3 linked regions of the Oreochromis niloticus genome follow. The protein of the gene in region 3 purifies or fractionates together with the protein of the main gene of each other region. This does not show direct contact. Links are inferred from orthologs where the notes say so. Each region holds a gene or a part of one and is shown on either strand. Other genes may lie near its edges.

Evidence for each region.
Region 1: the proteins of xiap (region 3) and xaf1 purify together in Homo sapiens (affinity purification with western blotting; 5 studies listed by BioGRID). This does not show direct contact. The link is inferred for Oreochromis niloticus from reciprocal best matches to the Homo sapiens genes XIAP and XAF1.
Region 2: the proteins of xiap (region 3) and map3k7 purify together in Homo sapiens (affinity purification with western blotting; 3 studies listed by BioGRID). This does not show direct contact. The link is inferred for Oreochromis niloticus from reciprocal best matches to the Homo sapiens genes XIAP and MAP3K7.

The regions. Positions count from the first base shown.
Region 1 is NC_031979.2:5,882,693-5,886,445, forward strand, and holds the start of xaf1 (XIAP-associated factor 1), read right to left. Parts: upstream 2,663-3,753; 5' UTR 2,544-2,662; coding exon 2,506-2,543; intron 1,671-2,505; coding exon 1,535-1,670; intron 990-1,534; coding exon 933-989; intron 400-932; coding exon 174-399; intron 69-173; coding exon 1-68. UniProt on the Homo sapiens protein: Seems to function as a negative regulator of members of the IAP (inhibitor of apoptosis protein) family. Inhibits anti-caspase activity of BIRC4. Induces cleavage and inactivation of BIRC4 independent of caspase activation.
Region 2 is NC_031980.2:29,212,408-29,216,160, forward strand, and holds the start of map3k7 (mitogen-activated protein kinase kinase kinase 7), read right to left. Parts: upstream 2,785-3,753; 5' UTR 2,523-2,784; intron 2,456-2,522; exon of another isoform or gene 2,152-2,455; intron 2,025-2,151; 5' UTR 1,998-2,024; coding exon 1,905-1,997; intron 1,787-1,904; coding exon 1,676-1,786; intron 1,598-1,675; coding exon 1,532-1,597; intron 1,453-1,531; coding exon 1,407-1,452; intron 1-1,406. UniProt on the Homo sapiens protein: Serine/threonine kinase which acts as an essential component of the MAP kinase signal transduction pathway. Plays an important role in the cascades of cellular responses evoked by changes in the environment.
Region 3 is NC_031966.2:30,959,696-30,963,448, reverse strand, and holds the start of xiap (E3 ubiquitin-protein ligase XIAP), read right to left. Parts: upstream 2,963-3,753; 5' UTR 2,806-2,962; intron 734-2,805; 5' UTR 685-733; coding exon 445-684; intron 336-444; coding exon 1-335.

The sequences.
Region 1 (3,753 bases), on a different chromosome or scaffold from region 3:
CTCATGCTCGTCGATATCAGCAACTGGAAATGATGCCATACATCTGGTACAATTCACTGATATTTCTGCTGTTGAGAGAAGCACGCCAAGCGTTAGCATGCAGGAGATAATAGCAAGAGATAAAATTGCACTGAGGTTTACTGAGATTTTTGCTGAATCTATTATTCTCTTACTCTCTTTGAGTGCCCTGCTGGTCGCTTGTAGGGGACTTGATGACTTCTCAGTGACTGAGCAGGTCAAGCCATGACTGGGTTGGTCTCTCAGTCTGACGTAACAGCCGCAGTCTCTGCAGAGCTCAGTGCGGCTCCCACACACCAAGCTGTGTCCGTCCAGCTCCTTCGATGGCACCTCCAGGTCACAAAACTGGCATGCCTGCAGACGCTCCACACACTCATCAGCCTGTGAGACAGTGAAAAGCACAGTTAGACTGATAACTAGGATAACTAGGGCTCGCCCATGTGGGCAGCTGCAAGTTTAACTTGAGCATGAAGGTGTGGATTCTGTTTTGGTCAGAACCATCTCAGTCCATGGCGATGTACTGAACTCTCTTCACCATTGACAGTGATGGTGGTGTTCCAGCACTTTCCAGTTCATGGCAAGCTAGAGCTTAAGCTTGTCAAAAGGACATTGTGCAACCTTCAGCTCAACTTACTCAAAGTAAAGTAAACTGAGTGCAAAGTGCTACTTGTTAAGGCACATTTAATCAAATATTAGTGGGGTGCATGTAAATATTTGAGCCTGTATATGTGTAATCTTGAGTGGCTTTGAGAAAATCCAAAATAGATTTAATAAATGATTAAAAGCCCCAAATCACCTTGACATCCATGCCCATGATGATGAGTGAATGTAACCTTCTGACCACAGCTGCAGATTTGTCACTATGTTGTTCTAATGTGTCTGAATGTCTACCTAAGTAGTGGTGTTGGATTCACCTCATGATCCATCAGCTGACAACGTTCCATCTTCTTGTTGCACTTGGAGCAGCTCACCTGATAACAAGCAAAGTTGCAGATTTACATAGAATGCATGGTGCTGTGTCTGTGCGTCGTGTACGTGTTTTACTTTTTCACTTTGTAAGAACACCAACTCTTTTTAAAACAAAGTAAACACTGGAATAGCTCATAAATCTCACTGCCTTCATGTTGAGTTGTTACCTACATTTTGCCCAATAATTGAGGGATCCATCCCTGATACACAAAACTACTCTCAGCTGCTTCCTTTTATTCACCAGGGGTCACCACAGCAGGGAGATCCAGGGAGTGTTTGATGTGGCACATTTTTTTTTACACCTGATGATCTTCCTGACATGACCCCCAAAAGCATTTATATCTCCCCCTAGGACTGAACTAGCGAGCAGTCACTTGTTCGGCAAATATGCAAACTGCTCACTACACAGACACATGCTGATGCACAAAAGGTAAAAAAGGGTGTACCAACGCGCAGGAAATGACAGCACTCTGTATGTGGCCTCTGGACCGATGCTGATCTCCATGAAGTGGATGTGTGTGAATAAACGGCTTCACCGTGTTTGTACCTCTGCATGCTGTTCCTCTCTGTGCTCCTTCAGCTGATCCCTGGGAACTGATTCATTGCAGTCCGGACAGACACATAGGAATCGGCTGCAGTGCGTCTCATGTAGAGCGAAGTTGGCTTCAGCAACCTCTTTGTGGCTTAAACCACAAAAGAAGGAAAGACGTATGTCATTTTGTAGCGAGGGAAGTTAGATTCAAAAACAAACAAACACAGATATAAAGTATGTACCCGAGAACCACATTTCTGTGCTCAGCTGTCCTACTGAATGCGACTATAGGAGGTGACAGGTATGCCCTGCCTGTAATACAGCTGGACTCTCTTTTTTGGACTGTCCTGCTACATGTTAACACAGTAGAAGCACAGGGAAGTGTTCAGTGGTCGAGAGGAGAAAAATATGCTGATTTATTATTGCTTACAATCAGTTAGAGATGAGACACACCTTATCCAGTGAAGCAGTAACAGTAGGTCATATCTTTATTAGAGAGAGCCTTCCTGAAAACGAAACTAAGACTGCCTGTGATTCACATAAACTGTCAGACTGTGCGACGTACTCACGCAGTTTCCATTAAGCAGCAGCTTAACTGAAGCAGAGCGCAGTATGGGCTTAATACACAGTGAAAGGGTGGACTGACTCTAGCTTTCTGAGACTGAGCCCTCTTTAGAAAACAGTTTTAAAGCATTTTACCGTTCCATATCACTTTTCAGTCACCGAAACCATACTTGGTTTGCAAACTTCTAACAAAGACTTTTATATATGAGCAGATCAGGACAATGTGTCTCTTTCTTTGTGACATAATTGCCATTCTGACACTCACTCTGTTCAGTTTTTTGACTCCAATCTCTTCACCTTACGTGGTGGTTTATTCACATTCACTTTCCGGTTATCAAATTAATTGTAAACAATCATTTAAAAGTACAACTTTTAAATGAAAGTTCCACTTCAGACAAAGCTGTCACATGACACTAACTCACCACTGGCCGCAGGTGCGTGTTGCCTCCTTGTCTTCCATAAAAATGATCCGAGTGTGGAAGATTAATCTGAAATGTCTGACTGCTCTCACAACTTGGGTATTGCTTCCCCAAAAAAGAAAGTGAAAACATCTAGCGGTTGTTTACAGGTTGCTATTGCGGACACCTGCCACAGAGGGGCGAGCGCGAGTTCTAAATATGTTTTCAGTGGCAGTTTCAGTTTGTACATATTCAATTTATTGAATTTGACCGCTTTGTTACGAAATTACTCCTTACTTATTTAGGGACGTGTTTTTATTTACATTTTTATTAATATTTTAACATTTACCACCTTAAAACATGTAGTGAAAAATAACACATGTATATATATACAATAATATGTGATGAATATATGAATACATGATTATATCTGATGTTACTGTATTCTTCTGGTTGACTGTGGAAAGAGGTATAACAATACTTAACAAGTCATACTCTCTCCTAAATTTCACTTATCGGTTTACTCTTTGTTAAAATGTGATAGATAGTTCTAAAGTGAGCACATCCATACAGGATGTGACAACAACAACAGGACCTGTTGTTGGCTGAGGAAGAGTCTGCAGCTCTTGTTACAGACACATCCCAACTGGTCATATCTAGGGACCAAACCCAGGGATTCCTAAAGAGGATCAATCCCACTCAGCACCTGTAAGTGCCCCAGAGGAAGTGCTGGGCGTTCTGAGAGGAGATCATGTTGTGGCAAGAATTGCACTCTTTAGTGAGTGTGGTGTGTGACACTCTTAGTCTGTTGCACATCCTAAATCTCACCATTTTCCACTTGCACACGGAGAGAAAACTGCATCATTCTCACACAGGTAATACAGGTAATCCTGTTAAATGAGACAAGGTGGAATTTAGCGATTTGTTACAACGATGGTTGTTATCCAAAAGAAAGAAGAGCTGGAATTTGACTCTTGTTTGAACCAGATGTTCTTCTCTCAGTTTTTCCCCATGCAGCTCCTCTGCTGTGGCAGCTGGCAACACTGATGTAAGAGAGAGAAGAAGAGCAGCGGGCCTCCAGTGAGGAGGTGATTAGGTTCCGGAACCAGCTCCAGGAGGCTTAACAAGAGACCGAACTCACACAGAGGTGCAGGGGATGGGTGGGAGGGTTGGAGGGCACTGGGGACAATAATACTACAATACTACAATGACAGGATAAGCTGTTCATGTTTCTGTTTTTACTGGCAACGGTGCCATTTGATTGAACGTTTG
Region 2 (3,753 bases), on a different chromosome or scaffold from region 3:
GGACTTTTCAATAGTTCTCAGCGTTTGTTATCTTTGCAATGTCCCACAAAACTATGTCCAAAAATGTAGTTTATGAAACAGTTTTATAAGCAAACCACTAAGAACAGCAAACTACTTTGTCCCAAAACCTCATCCAAGCAAACCTGATGGCCACGAGGGGAAAACTCCCAACTCACTGAAGTGTGACCTAGCAATTCAGCGAAATTTGCCCCCATAACAATTCTGGCAAATTGTAAGTACAACTGAGCGCAGAATATTTTATGAACATGATACAAATTAGTACTAACAGTGCCCTCCATAATGTTTAAGACACAAGTTTTTGAAGTTTTGTCTCTGAACGCTACCCACAATGAATTATAAATCAAACAGTCGAGCCTGAAGTGGAAACATTTTTAATTCAATTTTTTTTAAACAAAAAAATGGCTTCACTCTTGAGTTATCACATTCACAACATTTTCAAAAACTTGACCATTCACTTGAGGTCACCGAGATTTAAATTCGTCCCCCTTTTTCAGAGGTTCAAAATTTTCGAGACAACTAACTGATGAGTAGTTTCCTGGCCAGGTGAGGGCTGCTCCCCTCTTATTTCACGATATTTCATTTCTGAAGTGTTGAATTTGCTTTTCATGGTTTTTCACTGTATGAAAGTTAGGGGAAAAGAGATTTCGCAAGAAAGGGAAGAAAGAGAGGCCATTATTAGGCGTAAAAATTCAAATAAACCTGCCCCTATCGGACATCCAATAATTCCAGACTCTGCTGCTACATGATAACAAATTGCTTATAAAAGCACTCAGGGTAAACATAAGAAACAACAAGCCTAGACATACATGGGATAATAATGGTCGGCAAGACAGAAGCTCCTGCAGATTAATGCACTCCATTATGTGTTTTATCATCTGCATGGCAACAAGAGTGCCTATCAGCTGGTTCCCGATACTCCGGGAGGCGCATATATATATGTATGTGATATGTCTTTGTAACTTTTGAACTAAATATACAGTTTGATATTTACATTTGACAAAGTCTTTTAACTTATTTGAAAATGAGGCTGTAAGAAATATATGTATGCGATTTATTTGCAGAAGGTTTAAATACTCAATTTTCATTCTTACTGAAAATGTTAATTTAACTGTCTTAACTGTATGCACACAAATGATTTTTATACTGATCAATTTTATACCCCACCAGTTCTCAGGTCTATCTGAATATTTAGTGTAGGGGCTGCATGTCGCTGTGCAAACACGGACTTCTAACGAATCAGAAAAGTGGCTGAACATGCAAACAACTGGAGGATCAACTCAACAGGGCTGTGTCTGTCCAAAGCCGTGTTCATTACTAGCAAAGCAAAATAAATGGTATAACATGTAACACAACCATACTGTTTTCTAGTAAACATATTGACTCACCATTATATAATGATCCACCTTCTGCATATTCCATCACAAGGCAAACCTGAGGTGGAAAGAACACCATCAAAAACTCAAAATCAACCAAATAGACCAAATAGTCATTGTGATCCCAGTGAACTTACTGGATTATTGCAAGAGCCATACAGCTTCACAATGTTGGGGTGATTCACACGTGAAAGTTGTCGGAGCTGGAGATGAAAAGGAAAGGTTACACACAGGTAGGCTGTTGAAATAATCTTGAGAATATTTCAGTAACGAAAAAATACCTCAACAATAAAGGCTTTCCTCTCTGATTCACTCTCAATAGTCTTGATTGCAACATCTTTTCCTTTCCACTTGGCTTTGCAGACGACCCCAAAAGCTCCTCTCCCCACCACCTGAGAACAGGTAGTTAGCATCAAAGTTACACTCACTAGGTAAGAGCTTCATCGAGCTGATACTAACTCTTGTCATGCGCTAGTGACAAGGAAAACAGCAAAAATAATCACAAATTACCTCCTCAACTTCAATATCCTCATAATTGATTTCTTCAAAGGGATACCCAGGTGGTGTTTCAAGCATATCCGCTGGTGGTAACGATAGAGACATTACTAGCTTAGGTCAGCTAGTAACTTACTATGAAAACGAGCAAACAACACACAGGTAAAAAGCTCAATATTAATAAATATTAAATAAATCAGCACAGGGATACTTAGATAGGTTTCAAGACATCAATTGCAATTACGCAGTCGTATTTCTTTACCGTAACTGCGTAATTAAGACTGATGCCGTCAGGAGACATGGCTACTCAATAAAACAAACACGTTAAAGCCTTCAAAAATGGCAAATTGTCATTCCTTCGCCAGCTGTCAAGCACCGAAAAACGGATCGGCGTTAGCCTCCTGTCAGTTTCCTTGATGCAGTCAAGGCTAACCGCATAGCATAACTAGCTCAGTTCTGCAACTGCTACGAAAAACTACTGGTGAAAAGAAGTGTTTAAAGTTAGCTTTTTGCATAATTAAAGATCTGGGACGACAGAATAAGACCACACCATTCCTCACCAGAGTCTGACATTGTCACAACACAACCTTAAAAAAGACAAGCAATTCGAGGCCTGTTAAAATAGCAGCTTACGTTAGCTGGCTGGCCCGGTTGCTAGCTACCAGGACTTTCTTAGCTTCAACAATCCAACTCTTCGTAGATGACTTGTCACCACTGCCGGTTATGTGGACATGGGGAGATTTTCTACTATTCATGTAAGAATAAAACTGGAATAACGTCCATTTTTATAAAAACTCTTTTGTCTATCCACTTGACAAACAAGCATAACTTTTTGACAACTTGTGTAGCTGGCTTGCTAGGAATGTATTTTGATTCTTCGCAGGGGAGGGGGGTAGCTCCACCAGGAAGCGTGTGCGTATTGTAATTCTGTCCCCTGAAAACCAAAAAAGGTAGGGAAGCGTAATACATTAGCTTCAGAAAATGAAGCTATTTTTTTTCGTGAATTACTGACACAGTTAGTTCGGATATAACACACAAAGAAAAAGTAAGAAATTTGTGTTTGTGTGGAATATTTCTTTGTTGTAAAGATGTTTCTAGAACAATAAGTCCTAAACTAGGTCTCAGGACAAAGACAGTTGTTTGGTTGTTTAGTTTGTTTGAAAATGGATATTTAAAGGATTATTTCAGTTATATTTTCCGATACTTAATATTGTAAATAAAAATGTTGAAGCAGTAAAAATACTTTTATGCCATTTTACAGATTAGAACTTAAATTTACTTCCAAGATAACATATATTTTGTATTTGTATTTAGTGTAAGGTACCAGCAATCAATCTAAAAAAAAAAAAAGAAGAAGAATCTAAATACGTTTTCATTAAAAATGTGGCTTGCACATGTCATCGATCTTGCATGAAAGCAAAAAATTCTGTTTATCTAAGCAGAATATTGACCCAACATCTGCACAATCTTTTATTTTTAGGGCTGGCAGAATATAAGATTAAATACATCTTATTTTCTTACATTTACCTGCTGTGATCCAGGGCAGCTTTTCTCACTAGTTTGTCCAGTCTCCTTGCATCCTTGTTACTCATGCTGCCTCCCCAGCAGACTGCAGCATAGAACAGCACAATTGCCATCATAGACTGAAAGATCTTTAACATTTTACTTGTGATCAAGAGATTTTAGTTTTCTTAACAAAAAGAGGTAACTTTGCCCCTTTTTGTATAGGTTGGTATTTGGGGACCAGTTTAGATTGTTATCTAGGTATAATCTAGATATTTATATTTTGTTACCATCTCTATGTCCACCCCACAAACTTTCACAGGCTGAAGAGGGGGTCTGGGATTCTTGAGAAATCTACTCT
Region 3 (3,753 bases):
TCACTCCAGGCAGTATCTCCTGGTTCCCACCCATTCAGCCGACCACCACAGCAGAAACACTGAACCTTGTCACCCTGCCCCACGTAAAAGAAACCGGCTTGGGCCAGATCTCTGGGTCTCACCGGAGCACTGTTGGGCCAAGAAGAGAAGGTCCGAAGTCGGGCTTCTTCATTTCTCATGTGAGGAAATATAGGGTAGGTGGCCTCATCAACCACTTCTCCTGTTCTCAAACGATATTCCATGTCTCCTACTTCTTCACTGATTACTGCAGTATTGGAATTCTGGTTAAAACTGGTACGGTGGACGCAGGTAAGAAACATGCATGATGGAGAAAACTGTGAGAATGAGAAAAGTAGAATTGGATCAATGTGGAAGAAAACCAAACAGACAAAAAAAAGTGAAATATTAACCACTTCGACTTTTTCATGTTACAAGTTTGATTACCTGCATGTGCTTGTCTACAGGTCTGTCTCCTCTGTACCAATTATCCACAGTCATATTACAGCTGAAACAGCGGACACGGTCAGACTCGCCGGTGTAGAAGAAACCAGCCTGTGCCAGTGTTTCCGCAGGCACCTTGTTAGCAAGGTTGGAGCCACGGAATGAGTCTATGCGTCTTTTCAACGAGGAAAAATCAGGCGCATTGTCCGTCTCCCAAACGCCATCTTCACTTACATCACACATGATTGAAACAGGAAGCTGTAGGGATTTGTTAACTTGATGGACAGATGATCTGCAAATAGAAAGAAACAGAATATGTTTGTTGGTTTTTGGTTTTTGTTTAAACGGTACAGTGTCCTCATTTGCTTGTTTGTTTGTAAACAGACACTTCAGTGGTTAAATTCCCGCATTTCCATGTCTGGCGCCAGAGAGCCAATCTGCACATCTGCAGGGTCTCTGTACCTTTAAGAGAATGCCAGCCTGTTATCACATGCAGGAACTGAATGTTCCATGTGAGGGATGGGCACTGGAGAGGCAGGTTTGTCTACAAACACAGTGCATATTAAACCACGTAAAAGGTTATACCGCTTGAAGATACAATGCAGCAGAGACCTCAAACAAAAGGCCCAGGGGCCAGAAACAGCCTGGCAAAGGCTCCAATTCAGCTCGCCGGACAGCTTTGGAAAATGTGAAAGAAGGAATATATTTTGGGCTTTTGACTGTAGTTTTACTGCTTTTCCTATTGACAGAGACCTCCCCATTCATAATACACCAAAGTAATTAAGTAATAGATAAACAATTAAATGACAGAATAGTTCCTGTTTTTTCTGTCTACAATAATAATAATAATAATAATAATAATAATAATAATAATAATAATGTCTGTTTTTTCTTTTCAAAAGGTCTCCAGAGTTTTGTTTTGTTTTTTAAAGAGAGGAGGCAAGCATTTTCTGTGAATTAACAGAAACTTTCTCCTTTACAATTACAGTACAGTCTGAGAAATGAGCTGCCAGAACTTCTGAAAGTTTATGCATTTATCCCTTACAATTTAACCCTGGAGAGCTGTGCTGACAGATTTTGTTTTTTGTTTTTTAAATCTACTGCAGCAGTGTTTCTATGGCCTGAAGAAAATTTGAGAAGTACTGTTGAAATCACCCTTCTTTGATACCTCAAGGATGAGATTTTGCAGTTAAACTTCTTAAGGCTGAGAGTAAGGGCAGTTTCACTGGGTTTGAGGTCTAAAGTTAGCTTGTATGTGGCCTTAGAAGAAAAATGAGTTTGACATCCTTGCAATGCAGAATATGAGGAAAGAGAGCAACCTAAGGATGATATGCAGCAGTTTAAAGCACAAGCCACAAAATAACACATCAGTATTACTGCTGAAGCAGTAGAGAGGTGTGGTAATTTAATTTAGGAGCTCACCTTGTGCATTACCAACAAGTAAATCATGTAGCAACACATCATGAGAAGCACGCCTTACTGCCTCTTATGTTAAGGGTTTGACTTGTTAACGCCTTCGCATTGCTGTAACATAACTCAATGCTTTTCTGCGTGAAACTATGATTTCAGAATCTTCACATTCCTCAGCGTCATTCAGTGTCACAGCTTGACGCAAAATGGACTTATCATCCAACGACAGCACACAGTCGCCGATTAAACAACCGTTTAATCGGTGACTGCGTGCTGGGTCAGTTGCTTAAACAGCTGTTTATCAGCTGATCCGTTGCTGTATTGATGGGATGCGATCTTTGAACTGTCTTTACGTGTCTGCATTATTTCAAGTAAATCAATCGCCAGCGTCATCCCTTTATTTATTTATTTTTTTTTAACTTGAGCCAAGACTGCATCGTCCCACGCATTAAAATACTCACTTTTTGACTGCGCACGACATCTAACCGAAAGTAAGCGACAGGGGAGTTTTCCCCATTAGCAGTTCCACGTGTTGCTTTTAGTATGTATTAATGATCAGATTGGCGACGATTTGACCCCCCAGCAAATTCCACAAAGGCCTCACAGCTTTGCTTCAGTTGAAAGCGACACAGACGCCGTACTGTTTCTGGGAAACGCCGAGAGCAACAGCGCTGATGACAGCAAAGACCTCGCTAAACCCACACCGTGTTTTCGTTCAGTTAGAAATTAGTCAATACAGTTACCTAAAGGTGCTTTTATATGTAAAATGTAAACACCCAAGACGACAATCTTGGACTCTGACCTGTGCTTTTGATCTGTACTGCTAGGCTCGTAAGCGGAATCGCGAATGCTAGCTTCAGAGTGCTTGGTAGCTACATTAGCTTAGCCTTTTTACGCAACGCTAGCTAGGTCACACAGTGACATATCGAATATAATAACATTTTAAATGTTTACCTTTCAACACAGCTCCTCTGTTTTCTCCAGTCAGTGTAGAGTGTGAACACCTCGGAAAGGAGACTCCGGTGAAGTCTTTTGTGACCTCCCTGTCAGGAAGTGAAAACCACCTAATCAGGTGACGTCAGGAAAGGGTTGTGGCCTGGTGGTTTTCCAGCAATATCTGTGTTTGCCCAGATATCTTGGAAAAAGAAATTTTTGATGTTAATTATTTTTTTTAACCTGGATTACTTATATAAGAGTCATCTTGCATTTAAAAATGCAGCTTCTACGTTCTGATCAGAATGGGGGGTTTTTTTCGCTCAAAATGGCTTAGGAGAGCTATGTTTATAAGCCAACAAGCTACATTTGTAGTCCGTTTTCTGATTTGGTTGCATTTCAGCTGTCAGCTACGCTGTTTAATTTAAATGTATCTCCTATCTAATCCGCCAGTCACAGGGCAGCAAGTCAATGCACTTAGGAAAATGGCAGAAATGGTAAAAACGACCTCAAACTGAGCATCAGAATGGGGAAGAAGGGTGATTTAAACACGGCTGCTGGTGCAAGATGGGCAAATCTGATCATAAACTGCTAATCTACTAGGATTTTCCTGCAATACTGGTATTTAATAAATAAATAAACAAAAAAGAAGAAAAACTATTCAATGAATGCCAGTTCTCTACACAGATTGTTTCAAGCTGCTAAGAAGGTACACGCAAGGTATGAAGAAGCGCATACTCTGGTATGAACGCCACACCTCGGTATGTTGTTCTTTGTAATGTATTGAACACACAATGAACTTTGAGGTAGATGAGACTCAGCAGTAGACTACACCTGATGGCACTCCTTGTCAGCTGAGAACATGTTTGTACATTTGGATTAAACAAGATAAGATAGTGGATCCAGCCTGGCTTTTATCAGTGGTCCAAGCAGCTGCTGATGATGCTGAAATGGCACACTTTTGGCCTC